Linked DNA regions of Rhinolophus ferrumequinum. The protein of the gene in region 2 interacts with the protein of the main gene of each other region in a pairwise test. Links are inferred from orthologs where the notes say so. Each region holds a gene or a part of one and is shown on either strand. Other genes may lie near its edges.

What was found. The genes of interacting proteins can lie anywhere in the genome.
Region 1: the proteins of RPIA (region 2) and PCMT1 interact in binary tests that used the Homo sapiens proteins (3 or more experiments, as listed by UniProt). The two-hybrid records come from large-scale screens. The link is inferred for Rhinolophus ferrumequinum from reciprocal best matches to the Homo sapiens genes RPIA and PCMT1.

Annotation. Positions count from the first base shown.
Region 1 is NC_046286.1:93,112,084-93,119,970, reverse strand, and holds the start of PCMT1 (protein-L-isoaspartate(D-aspartate) O-methyltransferase), read right to left. Parts: upstream 3,050-7,887; 5' UTR 2,898-3,049; coding exon 2,669-2,897; intron 1-2,668. Other genes in the region: nucleoporin Nup43, read left to right, coding at 5,132-5,251, 5,597-5,719, 6,631-6,708, 7,703-7,883. UniProt on the Homo sapiens protein: Initiates the repair of damaged proteins by catalyzing methyl esterification of L-isoaspartyl and D-aspartyl residues produced by spontaneous isomerization and racemization of L-aspartyl and L-asparaginyl residues in aging peptides and proteins.
Region 2 is NC_046296.1:7,200,914-7,208,246, forward strand, and holds the start of RPIA (ribose-5-phosphate isomerase), read left to right. Parts: upstream 1-4,282; 5' UTR 4,283-4,312; coding exon 4,313-4,597; intron 4,598-7,333. UniProt on the Homo sapiens protein: Catalyzes the reversible conversion of ribose-5-phosphate to ribulose 5-phosphate and participates in the first step of the non-oxidative branch of the pentose phosphate pathway.

The DNA of each region.
Region 1 (7,887 bases), on a different chromosome or scaffold from region 2:
AATGGCAAAGAACAATGCATTCAGTCAGCATGCCGCATCCGCGGATTCCCAACCGCTGATTAAAAATACTGTTTTCAACCACGGGTTGGTTGAATCTGCTGAAGACCAATCAGGGATACAAAGGGCTGCCTGTATATTTATTGAAAAAAATCCATTTATAAATTGACCCATGATGTTCAAACCCGTGTTGTTCAAGGGTCTACTGTACAAATTCTTGGGAGCCTCAGCAATCTGTCTTAATCAGTTTCAACCAGCTCTCCAGGTGATCAAATATGCTCCACTTTTAGACCACTGTTTTAAGTTATTAAAGAGCAGTTGTCATCACAACATAAGCTATGAGATATTAGGAGATGTACCATTATAGTCTAAAATAATCTATAAACGGTATATCAACTACGAAATCATACATAATCATGCTTCTATTGTGATTTATAAAAGAAATCTACAGTAGATATTTTCAACAATTACAATATTAAAATGAAACCAATTATGAACTTCATTTCTTTAAAAAAAAATTAAAACCATAATTTGCTTCCTCTTCAGGTTTGCAGATCCTTTTTTCTTCAACATCAACATCATCACATTTTAATCTTTTTCTAAAGACTCAATTAGAAGCCTTCAGGAAAGCTTCCAGTGGAACCACCAGGAAAAAGAGCAATTTTCAAATTTTGTGCCAATTGAAATGTTTACATGAGCAAATATTACTTTTATAATAAACTAATAAATAAAAATGACACCTATTAGCTGGAATGAATTTAACAAGAAGTTGAAACTAAAGTTACAAAAGGGTTACAAAAGACGCTAAACAATATGAGTACTCTAATTTCCTCTTACCATAGATCTACTATAAAACTAAATATCTACAATATCAACATGCACATTAAATATTTCTTATCAGATTCGCTGATAGAACAACATCCTTAGGAGTTTCAGCTAAGAATAGTAATGCAATACGTTAAAGTGGGAAAAGATCTAGTCTTGGCTTACTATAAATTTGGCCCCAAAAGGAGAGACTTTAAGAGCCTGATTGATTACAAGCTTCTGCCACAGCCAAGTGTCTACTAAGATAACCTACCGGTGGAAAATTACCTAATCACAATTCGAGTGTAGAATGTTTCAGGTGTATATACTGCAACAGCAGACACTAGATCATTGTAAGAAATTTTATAAAAGTACTTACAACGTATTGAGCTTATGTGCAATCCATGGGGAACCTAAATGGCACCTAATAATGCTGTCTCAGCATATAAATGCCCATTTCCAATCAAATATCCTTCAATAAAGTGAATACTGGCAATGCTTGACAGAATTTTAAAATCTAAATATTCTTCATTACTAAACACTAAGGCCATGATTTCCAAGTATCAAATACTGTTTTAAAAAACGTCAAATGACTAATATTAAGTACTAACCATGCGCCAGATAGTGCTATTTCTCTAACTCATCGGAATATTCCTAGCACAGATCCAAGCATATAACGTACATTTAATTGGCATTTACGGAAAAAAAAAGGAATGAGTATTAATTTCTTTGAGAGGATTCACAGGTAATTTTTAAAAGTCCCAGAGGTTACCAATTGGATTAGGAAATATGACAGACACATGAAAAGCTAAATAACCTATGACAATTAAAAATATCACGTGGCAAGGTATGCTTATTTGCAGTTAGTGGCAAAGAGAGTGCTATAAATTCTGACCAGAGTATTATGGGCTGCAATCCTGGTTTCCCCACCACACCGCGACACTACACTTCGATTTAAAAAAAGAAAGTGACACAGCACTCATCCCGCCCTAAAATTATCATCAGAGGAAGGAATACAATAACTCAAGAGAAGGATATAAAGAAACTTCCACGCAAGGCTTTTAACGCATATGGCAGTCCTGAAAAAAGTTAGATTAGACACACACACACACACACACACACACACACACACACACACACACACATACTCGTTCGTTGGATTCCAGGACCTCTAAAGGCTCCTTAAACACAAGTCTCTCAGGAACAGCATCCCGATTATTTCTTCCTCCGCCCCCCACGAAGCTTTCCACTGGACAGCCGCCCCAGAAATTTCTCCCAGCATCCGCAACGACAATACTCTCATCTTCCTCTCCCTCCCCTCGCCTGTATCAGACGGTGGCATCTCCCTCCAGAGGAAAAAACGGAGGGCGGGGGAGGCAGAATAGGAGAGAGCGCTCGCAGCGAGGTCGATCACGAAGACGACGGAGGTGAGAAGACGCGGGGGGCCAGGGTGGACCCCTCAGTTCCAGACCAGACTCTAGGAGGCCTAGCCAACATCTCCCCACCCCGAGTGCACGCCCCTCGCCCGCCGGACCCGGACGTCCAGGAGAAGGACTCGAGTGACAGCCCCACCACCTGTGCCGCGCCCTCTCCTCCCAGGTCTCTGGGGAGACGCCTGCCCCTGCCCCACCAGCAGCGGCCGCGGGCTCTTTCTCTCCCCTTCCAGTCCACGTAGCCAATGAGTGACAGGTCCCGGGGGACGCGATCGCAAGCGCATGCCGTTCGGGACTGCTGGTGCAACCCTGGGCCGAAGCCCTCCAGCAGACACGGGGGAGGAGGGGCGAGAGAACGCTCCGGACAGCCCGGGGGACTCTGTCCAGGCCTGGCCTGCCCCAGTTGCCCCACACCCAGCGGGGGTGGCACTTACTGCAGAGATTGTGGATTAGCTCCGAGTGGCTGGCGCCGCCGGATTTCCAGGCCATCGCTAAGCACACCCGGAGCAGGTACAGAACCACCTTCAGCGCGGCGACGGTGCCCAGCAGCTTCCCCAAGAGTGAGACCACCTCCCACACGGTCACCGGCCCGCTGGCGTCCCCGCTGTTGCCGCCGCTGTGACTGCCGTCGCCGCCGCTGCCGCCACTGCGCGCTCCCGGCATCCCCCGCGGCACGCATGCGCTCTGTGACGCCTGGCGGCCTCGGGTGCGGCTGGGTGGGGCCGGAGGCGGGGGTGGCCCCGAGTCCAGCCGCCCCCGTTGGTGGCTGCTGCGGCTGCCGGAGACCGGCGGAGAGGCCAGGCAGAGTTAGCGCCGCCGCCGCCGCCGCCCCCGCCGCTCCGTGCCCCCTTATGAGGCCTCGGGCTGCAAACCGCCTCCTTGTTCGGTTCGCCCTGCGGCCAGGCGGCGTGGGCCCGGCTGCGGTGGGTCGCGTGCCCGGCTGAGGCTCTGGTCGCCGAGCGCGGTTGCAGGATAGCGGTGCCTTTCTGTGACGTCGCGTCTGGACGATCTGGTTCCGCCGCTGCCGGTAGCTCCGCAGTCTCCGTTGGGTCAGCTGTTGCGAGCGGCGGGTCTGCTCCTATAGCTGCCCAGATTATTAGACGGTGGGCTTCCTCCGTCCTGCCTCACCCAACCCTGTTGACTAATATTTAGGTCGGTTAGAGTCAGAGCTTTCTGGTGCAGCCTGAATAATATTAATAGCACCAGAGAGCAAAGGCCCTCTCTAACCCGAGTTCGGCAGCCTCTGGCTTTATGACAACTACATCGGTGTTCGGTTAGAGAGACTTCGCAGCCCCTGGTTTGTTCTCAATTCTAAAGTACAAATTCAGAGAGTAGAAGAATAACATGACATGTGGGGGCGAGGAATGCTTTACTCACCAGAACAATGCAATTGGTTAAAAATACCACAGTATTCTATCTATATCCAATGTATTACTCTAACACAAGTGTGAGCTTTCAGCAAATTAAACCTCGCAAATGGTACCGTTAAACTGGACATCAGTACTATTGCTGTCATCTCTGCAAGACTGAGCAGCTGAAAGGGAGCATTGCTTGTCGCATTCAACTTGCTGACTCCTAATCAGAACTGATACTGACAGAATCCAATCATCCAGTCCAATAAAATTTTAAGGAAGAAAAAGTTATGTCAAAACATTATGCGCCAGCAGCAATTTTCAAATTCTAGTTCTTTCCAGATGTCAAATGTGATACTCAGCCTACTTCCAATACAAAAAATATGTTACGTATTTTCTGGAATTCTGTGACCATAAATGAAACCACACTCAAAACCGTGTTCTTTACTTCAATAGTAGGAATAAAACTGTCAGTGTGGGATTAAGTTTTCCATTTCATCTCTCTGCAGTTTCCTATTGTAGTCCATTTAAAAAAAGCCTCAATCCTCAATAAGACCTGATAACTCTCTAAAGCTGACAACCAACACATCATTATGAATACAGTATAAAGGAGATTTTTAGAAAGATGAATAAGTCACACCTCTTATGTATGCAATAGGATTTACATTCTAATTGGGGAGATCAGCATCAAAATAAAACTAGCAACAGAGGACAAAACTTAAGTGCTATTAGTGGCCAAAATTAGGGGTCTAAAGTGCTATGTTTATTTAAGATCACGGGCTGGAATAATCAGGAAAAGATAACAGGAAGGAACTGGTCCTTGAAAGATGGGTAGGATCCCAAGAAGTAAAGAAGACTATACGGGTATTATTACAGGTGTAACCAAGAGCACTGGAAGAACCTACAGCACTGATTCCTGGGCTGTCGATGTTACATATCAAACTTAATTGTTAATACATATATAAGTCAATTGAAGAAGGTTGGGCAATGGTCATGAAAACTAGAACTGGAGTCTTCAGCATTCCAACTCCAGGCTTTGCAAGTGTGCGTTAAGAACTTTGAAGCAAAGAATTTGTTTGGGAGACAGAGGGAGAGGTTTAGAATAATAAGTTGGTGTGTTAATGGCGTGCACTTCCATGAGAATTTAAGGATTTGAATAATCTATGCACAGTGAAATGCAAAGCTGAATGTTTAGGTGCGGCTACTTGGTGGTTTCTCTTAAATTTGTTTTAACATTGCACAGTTATTGGATGAATGCATTGTGTCAGTGTTCCTAAACTGATTTTGAAGATTAGGAGCAGGTCCCACAGTACCAGGACCAGCACACTTGTTGCCTCTGTTAAAAAACGCGTGGGTAAGGAAGAGCGTCAAAGCTTCCTTCTGCTTGGGAGCTGGTGGTCCCCTCATTGCCGACCGCAGAGAATTGGCTCTCCGCAGCCACCGTCCGTCCCGTAAGGTCCAGTCCAATCAGAGCTCCGCGGGAGGGGGCGGGACTAAGAGGCGCGCGCTGTGCTTTTTGCTGTCTCCGCCGCGGTTAATTTCGGCATGGAGGAGTTTTATGCTAAGTACGTGTCTCAGAAAATCAGCAAAACCCGCTGGCGACCGGTACCTCCGGGAAGTCTGCAGACCGCGGAGATCTTCGCTACGGGCTCTTGGGACAATGAGGTATCTCCGTTCCCGGGCCAGGAAGCCCCTGTCTCCTCCCCCTCTTTGTTCCCCGCCCGGGAAGCCCCTGCGACCCCCCGGCCGCCTGCGCGCGAATTCTCTTGCCTTCTACATCCTCTCACTTTTCTCCATCCCCCGAGTCCCTGTCGCGGGCTCGGTTGACCTGTACCCCAGCCATCGATGGTATGTGCCTTAGCCTCGAATCTCGTGTTTTAAACTATCACCACACTGTCACCACTATTCTGAGATGCTTTCAAAGCAAGGTTGCCTGTAGGCAATACAAATGTTAATTTCCGAAAGTTTAACGTAATATTTCATCTCAAGGTAAAACTTGCTGCTTTACAGGAAAATTATGTTTCACTGTGGTCTATTGGAGATTTTGGGAACTTGGACTCTGATGGAGGGTTTGAAGGAGACCATCAGTTACTGTGCGGTACCAGACACCATGGTGATGTTATGGATTTACAAGTAAGTAACATCTTTTTTGGATGTATAATATCCAAAAGCTAACTTTTAAAAAACACTCATACATTTAGAGATGTAAAGGACCTTACATTTTCCTGGGTCTACAGGAAACTGAGTTCTCTATAGGTTATGATTTTTGAACATCATATAGCCACTTAATGTTAGAATCAGGAGTGGGGAAGGCGATGTGGGTTTAACCCTAGTTTTTGAATCCTAGGGTTTTTTTGTTTGTTTGTTTTTTGTGTTTTTTTTGTTTTTTTTTTTTTTAGTTGACCATCTACTGTATGCCAAGCACTATTTGGGGAGCTTCACATAATTCTCATTGCATGCTTGTGAATCAAGTATTGTTATCTCTGTTTTATCAATGAGAAAACTGAGATTAAGATCTTTTGAGCAAGTGCTGTGTGACAAATACTGTTCGAGTTACTTTACATGTGTTTTGCTCTTTGAATTCTCACAACTCCCTAAGTAGGGATTAGTTCTCTCCTTTTAAAGGTTTACCTAGACTTAAAACAATTTAACTTGGCCAAAGTCTCAAAGCCAATAGTAAGTGGTGGGACTGAAATTAAGTTTTCAAATCCTGGTATGTGTGACTTCAGAGTCACTGTGTTTTCTTCAATAGTAACTTGCCTCACCTTACTTTTCTAAACCTTTATGATAGTGGTCCAGAATTAACTAAATCAGTTTTAGGGGAATGAGTTTAGGGAAAAAAATTGTTATTTTTTTTCCTTCACAAAAATACTTATATTGGTATTGGAATTTTTACTTTCAGGTCTGTCATCACATTTTATTTGCTTAGCATTTATAGGCTCTTTGCATTTTAAAACTATTATTACTACTAATTAAGTTAAACAAATGGGCTTCCACTTTACTGGTATTTCTCAATCCATAACAAGCATGAATTTTCTGTTTAGTTTTTTGACCAGGAAAGAATGGTAGCTGCTTCATCAACAGGATGTGTAACAGTTTTCCTTTACCGTCCAAATAACCAGGTAAAGAAATTTTGTTTGAAAACTTAATTAATTTGTATTTTCATTATTTTTAGGAAGGCTTTAAAAAGACTGTTTTTAATAATGACACAAATAATAAAATTATATAGTCTCAAAATATGGAGGGGAAAAACATCGTTATATTACCCAACTTTTAGTAGACTAATTTTAGAACCGTGTTTGTGTGTGCTTGTATTGAATTTGGTTATCTCTTAAATTCTGTTAGTCTAGAGTCTAGACTTAACAATCTAGTATTCTGGCAAGGAATTTTCCTGTAATTCTGTTTTAAGTTCCCATTTTGGTCTTTGAAGAAAGAGCACCTTTTAGTTAAGGTATCATGAGAGAAAACAGGAACAGCTACTTTGCTTCTGTGGATAGAACCTGGGTTTTAATTAGAAGAGAGGATACTCTGTGTGAAGACTTGACATTTTTTCAGTGCCTTTCCTGTGTGCTGAAGCCTAAGAGTACTGACCTTCAGAGCATAGTGTTGAGGGCATTCCTTTAAAATAGGTAGTCCCACTTGTAATAGTTTTAAGTTGCTAGAAGAGAGTGCTTATTTAGACTTTGGAATTAATAAAGGTCACGTTGCTAATAGGCATGTCTAGAAAATATAAGACCCGGGTCTTATTAAGTATTAATGGAATCCTTTAGAAAGCATTATAGAGATTTATTTCTTAGATGTAGGCTAATTCCCTTAAGAATTTAAAGTTGCTTTTGAACACACAACTACCTGATACCTCAAAACCGTTTCTTTAGTTTGAGATAAGATTGGCCTATTATTGAACAATGGTCTTTTGAATCTAATCCAGTGTATACAGAGCTTTGATGGAAGTAGTTTCTAGGCTTTAATACTTGGAAATAAAAAGGAAAAAGGAGAGAGTTGTCCTTTTGCTAGAAGGGTATGAGACGGAATTTTAAAATACTCTTTAGTTGGGAAAAAGTGCTATGTTTTTAGAGCTTTGCTTTGATTAATCATATTGTCATTTCTGACACCTAGACACTGTCCGTCAGCCAGCAGTGGACAGCAGCTCACCACCACACCGGTCTGGGCAGTCCTTCCTGCAGCAGTGCGCCATGTACGGGGGTTGTGTGCAGCAATCCAGACATTGTCACCGTCGGAGAAGATGGTCGAATCAATCTCTTCAGAGTTGATCACAAGGAAGCTGTGAGAACTATAGGTAA
Region 2 (7,333 bases):
CCCTTGTGGGAGTTGAACCAGCAACCTTGTGGTTGAGGAGGATGCGCTCCAACCAACTGAGCCATCTGGGAGCTCAGCAGCAGCTCAGCTCAAGGTGCCGTGTTCAATCTTAGTTGCAGGGGGCACTGTAACGAATCACTTTTTAAAAATTAACTTTATTGTAGTTGTTGACAAAAGAACATCCAGCCTAAGAAAAAGTCTCATAAGAGTTTATCTGAGCCAAACTGACAGTTGCTGGGAAGCAAAATCTCAATGGATTGAGAAAATGCTACAGAGAAGGTCAGTTTTACAGCTTATTTTATACATCAGAATCAAAGGAGGAGACAGAGGGGGGTCATGAAATCCATTGGTAGTATATTAGGGAGGCGGGAAGCAAAGTGGGGAAGTCTCTGAGATTGGATAAAAAGTAAAGTGGAGAGATACATGCAACAAATACCACCACCACTAACAGTGCAGGATGGTGGGCTCTGCCCTGTGATCCTTCATTCTGGCCCTGAAATCTCTTTTCCAAGGATTTCAGGTTCCATGAAAGAGGGAAAAATGACCCCCATGTGATTCTTCCCAGTTTGAGGAATCTAGAAAAAAAATTAGAATTTTTGTCAGGTTAGGATTATAAAGCAGATTGATCTCACCTTTGTGAGCCCCTGAAAGTAATCCAGCATCCAAAAACTATACTTCCCTTTTAGTGCTTCCTCATTTAAAGTTTTTTTTTTTTCTGCCTTCCCTCCCCCCATCCTTATTAACCATTTTGTCTCTAGGTTTATTGTTATTACTTGTGATTTTAAAGAGAAAAGATTACTTGTGTGGTTTATACAAAGTTCAGGGCTTTATTGGTGGTGGTGTTGGGGAGATTAATAAATCTCCATATGAGTGATTCTATCAAATCAAAGTTTGGTCCTAGAATCACTGCAAGTTTGCATCCCAGCTTCACTTATGAGCAGTGTGACCTTGGGTAAGACAGGACTTCTTCACGCCTCCTTTGTACAATGGGGATGATAGTACCCAGGTCTTGGAGTTGCTAGGATTAAATGTGATGACACCAGCAAAGCATTTAGCATAGTGCCTGGCACTGTTCTCACCCAATATACAAGTAAAAACTGTCATAGGGACGTGCTGCTCATACCGTTCCAAGGATCAGCATAGTCTTCAGCCTCAAGAGTTGCCAGTGGGATTTCAGAATTCCAGGAGAGTCACTCGGCATCATTCATTGGCAGACCTGAGGAGAAGGGTTAAGTGGGGCGGGAATGAGAAATGATCACAAGATGGAGAGAAGGAAAAACAGAGGCACAGGCAGGTAGAATTTTATAGAACATTGCTCACTCCCCAAATATTGAGTTAGGTGCTGTGTATCCAATAAAGAAAAGAAAGGCTACCGGTGATTGGAAGCACAGAGGAGCAGTCAACCTGTTACTGTGCCAAAGGTCCAGCTGCTCGCCGCATGAAAGCCAAAACTTCAGCGGCAAGGTTGGTGGAAAGAAAAGCAGGTTTATTCCAAAATGACAGCATTAAGGGAAGACAGTGGACTCCTTGTCACAAAGTCTGCCTTCCCGCTCCTAATACCGCCAAAAGGTTTTATAGGCATGCAAGGAGAGGCAGAACAAAGAAAAAGGAGAAGTTGGCCCAGCTACTCCAGGAAAAACACTTCCCAAAGGCCAACATGCCTCAGGGTCAGGAGAAGATCCCATATAAATGCAAAAACCTCTCCGCAGCCCCAAAGTAAACAGAACCATTGAAACTGGTGGGTGTGATAGTAAATGCAAAGTAAACAGAATCATCAAAATTTGACTGGAGGGAAAAGAAGCAAAGAAAAGACTTTCAAAAAGTCCTTAGCCAAACCACTGTCAAATTGAATTACATCAGAGGTTTAAAATCTCAAAATAGAAGGATAAGGTCACCTTTACAAAACCAGCTAGGAGTGGGGTTCAGAGTAACAGGTAACAGAGTGGAGTCCTTAAGAACATCTGAGAGTTAGAGGGGTACAGTTTGTGCAAAGATATGGAGGTAAGACATGCCCAGCGAGACTGAAATTGTATAGCTGAAGTAGGAGTGTGGGGTTGAGGCACAAAATCTGTTATCCAATCAGCTTTAGGTATTTGTGGTGGACCATCTATATGACTGACACATGGAGGATGCTGTAGGGAAAAAGCAAAGCCCCTCTTCTCAGAAATATTATTTCCTGGAGGATAGATGGTAAACAAGTACAAAACTAAATAAACAAATAAACGATTGAGGAAACTTCTATGGTGGGAATAAACAATGGGTAAAGTGATAGAGGATGGATGGGTGGGAACTCAATTTAGATAAGGATCAGGAAGACTCTGAGGAGGTGGCATTTGAGCTGAGTGAAGGGTAAGATGGAGTTGGCAGTGCAGAGACAGGCAGATGGTCAGTCGGAGCATTTAATGTGGTGGGAAACCAGATGCAAATGTCCGCAGGCTGGAGCGGTAAAGCAGATTGGCTACTACCAATTGCTCCAACCTTTGGTTAGTGAGTGAAGAGCCTCAATGGGGGAAAGATTGCCCCTAACGGGAGGCAGAAAATGTCACAAGTTTGATTCACGTGGCCCTCAACCCTGCAGAGACCAACAGCGTGTGTGTGTGTGTGTGTGTGTGTGTGTGTGTGGTGCCAAAAATACTAGGGGTGCCAAAAAAGTGTGTACAAGTGGACACTTTGGTCAACGTTGCTCAAGCAGTTCGCCTTAATCAGAAGTGTCTGGACACTGATGGTAACCACTCTGAGCACCTCTTATAATTGCAGAAGTCAAATGTGACTTGTATATTCATCTTTTTTTGGCATCCTCTGTATTTTGTCCTGCATCTTAGCCAGATTTAAAATTCTGCCTAAAACTTAGGATTCAAACATCCCCTCAAATAACTTTTCCTCCTTAGACTAAGGTGGAGGTCCCAGGGCTGACAGCCTCAGTGGGCACAGCAAAGAGAATGTGAGAGAGTGATTTAACAGTGGACCATACTGGTGCTTTGCACACACCCAAGAGGGAGAAGGTCCAGAATCTGAAGATGAGTTTGTGGGCAGATGGGATTCCACCAACATGGGCAAGAAGCACAAAAGCTACCTGCTTTTTAAGGACCTCCAAGTAGTAGGTGTCGTGTGGGGCGGCCTGCGGGAGACCCTGCTCGCTGTGCCATGTGTCATGCAGGGTGTCATGCGGGGGGGTCTCAGCTCCCGCTCCCCACATAAGAATGCAGGATATGGTGAGGCCAAAAAGGAACACCCACGGAGCCATAAAGAGGGGAGTCATACTGGAGGCTGGGTTGGAGACACAGGAAGCAGGAGCCACACTATCTGCAACCACTGTCCACTTCTCTGCAATCTGCAACCCGCACTCCGCTGTGCTAACTGCAGTCCACGCTTGCCTGCCACCCTCTTCTTGCTAGCCCCCATTTTCTCTGCTAGCTTAGCCACAGCAGTTATATTAGTGGCCAATGGCTCACTGGTTACAGCTGACGGCCAACTAGCCACAGCTGATGGCCATCCAATCACAGTTGATGGCCATTTACTACCTGAGCCAGCACCTTTCCACGTGAGGTCGAGAGCCTGGAAACTGCACTCCTGGCTCTGTCCCCACAGTAGGTACAGCTGGGGTCAGCATTGGCCTCCTCTCTTGTAATAAAGAGACAATAAAAATTGTCCAGTCTGTACTATTCCCTACAGCAATACACCTTACAGGTAGAGAAAACTTTTAAGTTCAGTCAAAGTGCTTGTAAGTCAACTAGGATTGTGGGGTCTCTGAGGGACCAGGATTGATTTGGACGACGCACACCATCCAATATCGCAAAGTGCAGGACCACGTCTAGTGCTGCCGGTTCTAAACTTGTAGTCCTGGGCCTTCCCAGGTCTAGGACAGACTTCAGCAGGCGCAGGGATGCCACATGCGTTTGCCAAGGGAGTGAGTTTAGAGAAGTCACTCCGAAAAGGACGTCTCCAAAAGAGCGACTGCCCTGAGGTCTCGCCCATTGCCACATTCTTATTGCTGGGAAAAACAATATGGTCAGGTCTAACACCCTCTCCTCCGAAGCATGGGCAGATAGAAAAATCTCTAAGATTCACCTAACCTTCCGTTACTCCCGCCATACTGGTCTAAGCGCCAAAGCCCGTCGCCCGCGTTTTGCGTACAGGTCGCAGAGCATTGTGGGGCTGATAGTCCAGACAGGGGCGCAGCTTCGGGCTACCGAAGCCAAAGAACTACATTTCCCAGTAAGGCCCGCGCCGGCGCAGGTCTTGTGCATAAACGATTAGACTTCCGGAAGAACCGGGGGCGGGACTGTGGCAGAGGCTGGAGTCAGGCGTCGGGATGCAGCGTCCTGGGCCCTTCAGCACCCTCTACGGGCGGGTCCTGGCCCCACTGCCCGGGCGGGCCGGGGGCGCGGCCTCTGGCAGAGGCGGGAACAGTTGGGGCGTCCCAGGCTCCCACGTGCAGCCGCCTGGGTGCGCCCAGTCCGGGACTAGCGGCGGTGCTGGCCGAACAAACACCAGCAGCCGGAAAGCCAACAGCGTGTTCCTGGACCCCTCCACGATGTCCAAGGCCGAGGAGGCCAAGAAGCTGGCGGGCCACTTAGCAGTGAAGAACCACGTGAGGGTGAGCAGTTCAGGGGCGTGGGCGCCTGTACTCGGCGTGATGGGTTCGTGTCGCGCGCTCTGGGCACTGCCGGCGTTCGCCCGGTTCCTGGAAGGACGTGGGCTGCGTGAGAGGGGAGAGAGTGCGCACTTGACCCGGGTTAGACCCCTTGTTTCCGGCTCCTTAAAGGCCAGTTAGATGCGGGATCGATTGGAGGCGAGTCCCCTAAGTTGAGCTTTCTAAAGACTCCTTGTCTGGCCGGATAATAGTTTGCACCGTGGAGCCTGGTGTTGTCTGATGCTGAGTGGGAATGGAAGGGACTTGCCGTGAGGTTTCCTTATCAACAAATGGAAACCGACGCCTGCTGGGGCGGCTGAGAGGTCTTGTCTTCACTTTCCTGGGAAGCCGGTGGAGAGCTGTCTGAAAATAGCATTGAAATTTCACTCCAAGGCCGTTTTAGCTTGCGCTAACACCTCTGAGTGTGCTCGCCAGAGGGAAGGGGAAAGACTGCAGCTTTAAACCTCCCTTCGACGGGGTCGGGTGGATACCTGAAGTCTGGAGGATGCTGTTTTTTAGGGTTTAGGTGCGGAGTTGTTTAGCTGTTACTCGGTGTGGTCGTGGCCCCACTTGTTTGTTAAGCGGTGGGTGTGATGCTGTTTGTTAGTGGAGTCTTTTCCCCTGAGTGGGTTTGTCAACTTAATTATCTTAATTAGAGCAGTGTGGGAGCCAAGTAGAGTATCTCTGCCCTTAGGTGGAGTTTCTTTGGCTTTACTGGCTTTTTGTCTTTCTTTTCTACTTCTTAGAAAATGATATCAGAGTTCCTTTTTTGTCATGATAGTTTGTTTTTTTTTCAGTTGATAATGCATTAGCTTGTAAAGTTATTTTGCATAGATAGATGATGTTTGCTCCCCAAGCAGCCTGGTTAAGTGTGAGGGGCCCATGTGGTAAACTGTTTCAGCATGTTCTGTAAGAAGGACTGGCCAAGGATCCTATTGAACCCGAAGTGAGTGACTCCTGTTACAGTGCCCTTCCACCAGTTGCACAGCCGCCCTGTTCTGGCTTGTTCCAAGTCTGCTTAGCAATGAGACTTTCAATAAGCAATAAGACTTAGCAATAAGTTTCTGCTTAGCAATAAGACTTTCTGTGGGAATTCACAGAAAGTGTGTAAAATGTGTAATCCGGATCTGCTTTTGGGATTCAGTGCCTCAACTGCAAGATTGGGACAGTAAACTGAATCTGGGGACAGAGCAGTTTCCCGGCTCTCGGCCTTACGTGGAAAGGTGCTGGCTGGGTTATTAGTTGGCCACTGATATAACTGCTGTGACTGAGCTAGCAAGCGCGGATTGCAGTTAGTGAGGGGTGGGTTGGTTGGCAGCTGCCAGGGAGAATATAGTGGTATGACTCCCCTATCTATGGCTCTGTGGGTGGTCCTTTTTGGCCTCGCCATATCCTGCGTTCTTATGTGGGGAGCGGGACCAGAGACCCTGCATGACACTGAAATTTCAAAGTGCCTGGATACAGTGAGTAGCTAGCTAATGGACAGGTAAATGAAATTGATACAATTAGAAAAGCCTCATATCTTAGTTTTCCTATTAACCTAGTGTCATGCGGGGTCTCAGCTCCTGCTCCCGGCACCCACGGAGCCATAGATAGGGGAGTTATACCACTATATTCTCGATGGCGGCTGGTTGAGACACAGGAAGTAGGATCCACACGATCCACAACCCGCCATCCACGCTTGCTAATAACCCCACTTGCTAGCCGCAGTCCGCACTTGCTAACCATGCTTGCTAACTGTGTCATCCGCAATCCGCAGTCCGTTTGTCTGCCAACTAACCAGTCCCCTAGCCTAGCCACGGCAGTTATACTAGTGGCTAATGGCTAACTAGTCACAGCTGATGGCCATCTACTACCCAAGCCAGCACCTTTCCAGGTGAGGTCGAGAGCCTGGAAACTCTCTGGGACTCCGTCCCTATACCTAGTTAAATTAATATTTGGTGGCACATGTATCCTTAACTTTTGTTTTATAATTATGTATTTGGTCAAATAAAAATCTGCAAGCCCCCCACCTCAGGCTAGAGCCTCAAAACACTGGATTGCAGCCACATTATTCCATGAAGTTACCAGGTGATCCCAAGGAGATCTCTATTGGCCTTTTGGGGCACCTCACCTCAATCTCAGTTGCACCCACTTTCCCTACCAAACTTCTTTCCTGAGATGCCAACACTATTTGAAGTTTGTATTTATTGCTCGTTAGCATTGATTTATTCATATAATATGTTGGTCAGGTATTTATTGAGTGCCTAGCAGTGTCAGGCCGTTGGTGTGGTTGCCAGAAATGTGGCCAAAGGGAGGAGTGGGAGGAGAGACAGGTCCGATAGATATTTTGTAAGCAGGATGACTAATTCAAACCCACACATTTATTGAGCATATTCACGTACTTAATTGTCAGGGCTTATTTAGCTGCCCTCTCCAAGGGGTATCCTTTTCCCGTCTAAGGCCATGTTTTCCTCTAGCACTTTGTGACTTGAAATTGTTGACTCACTTGTGTAAGTGTGTAGAGGTAGGTTATATGCTGGGTCCTGTTTTTCTGTCTTTGGAATGTTCTTAGAGCTGACCCTTCCCTTTGACCTACCAACTTTCCCAGTTTAGGCTGTTCCCAGGGCCAGAGGAGAGTAGTTGCTTTTATCTTGTCCCCTCTGTTGCCCTCCCAGGTGGTGCATTATCATCTTCTGATGCTCTCGTGTTCTTGTCACA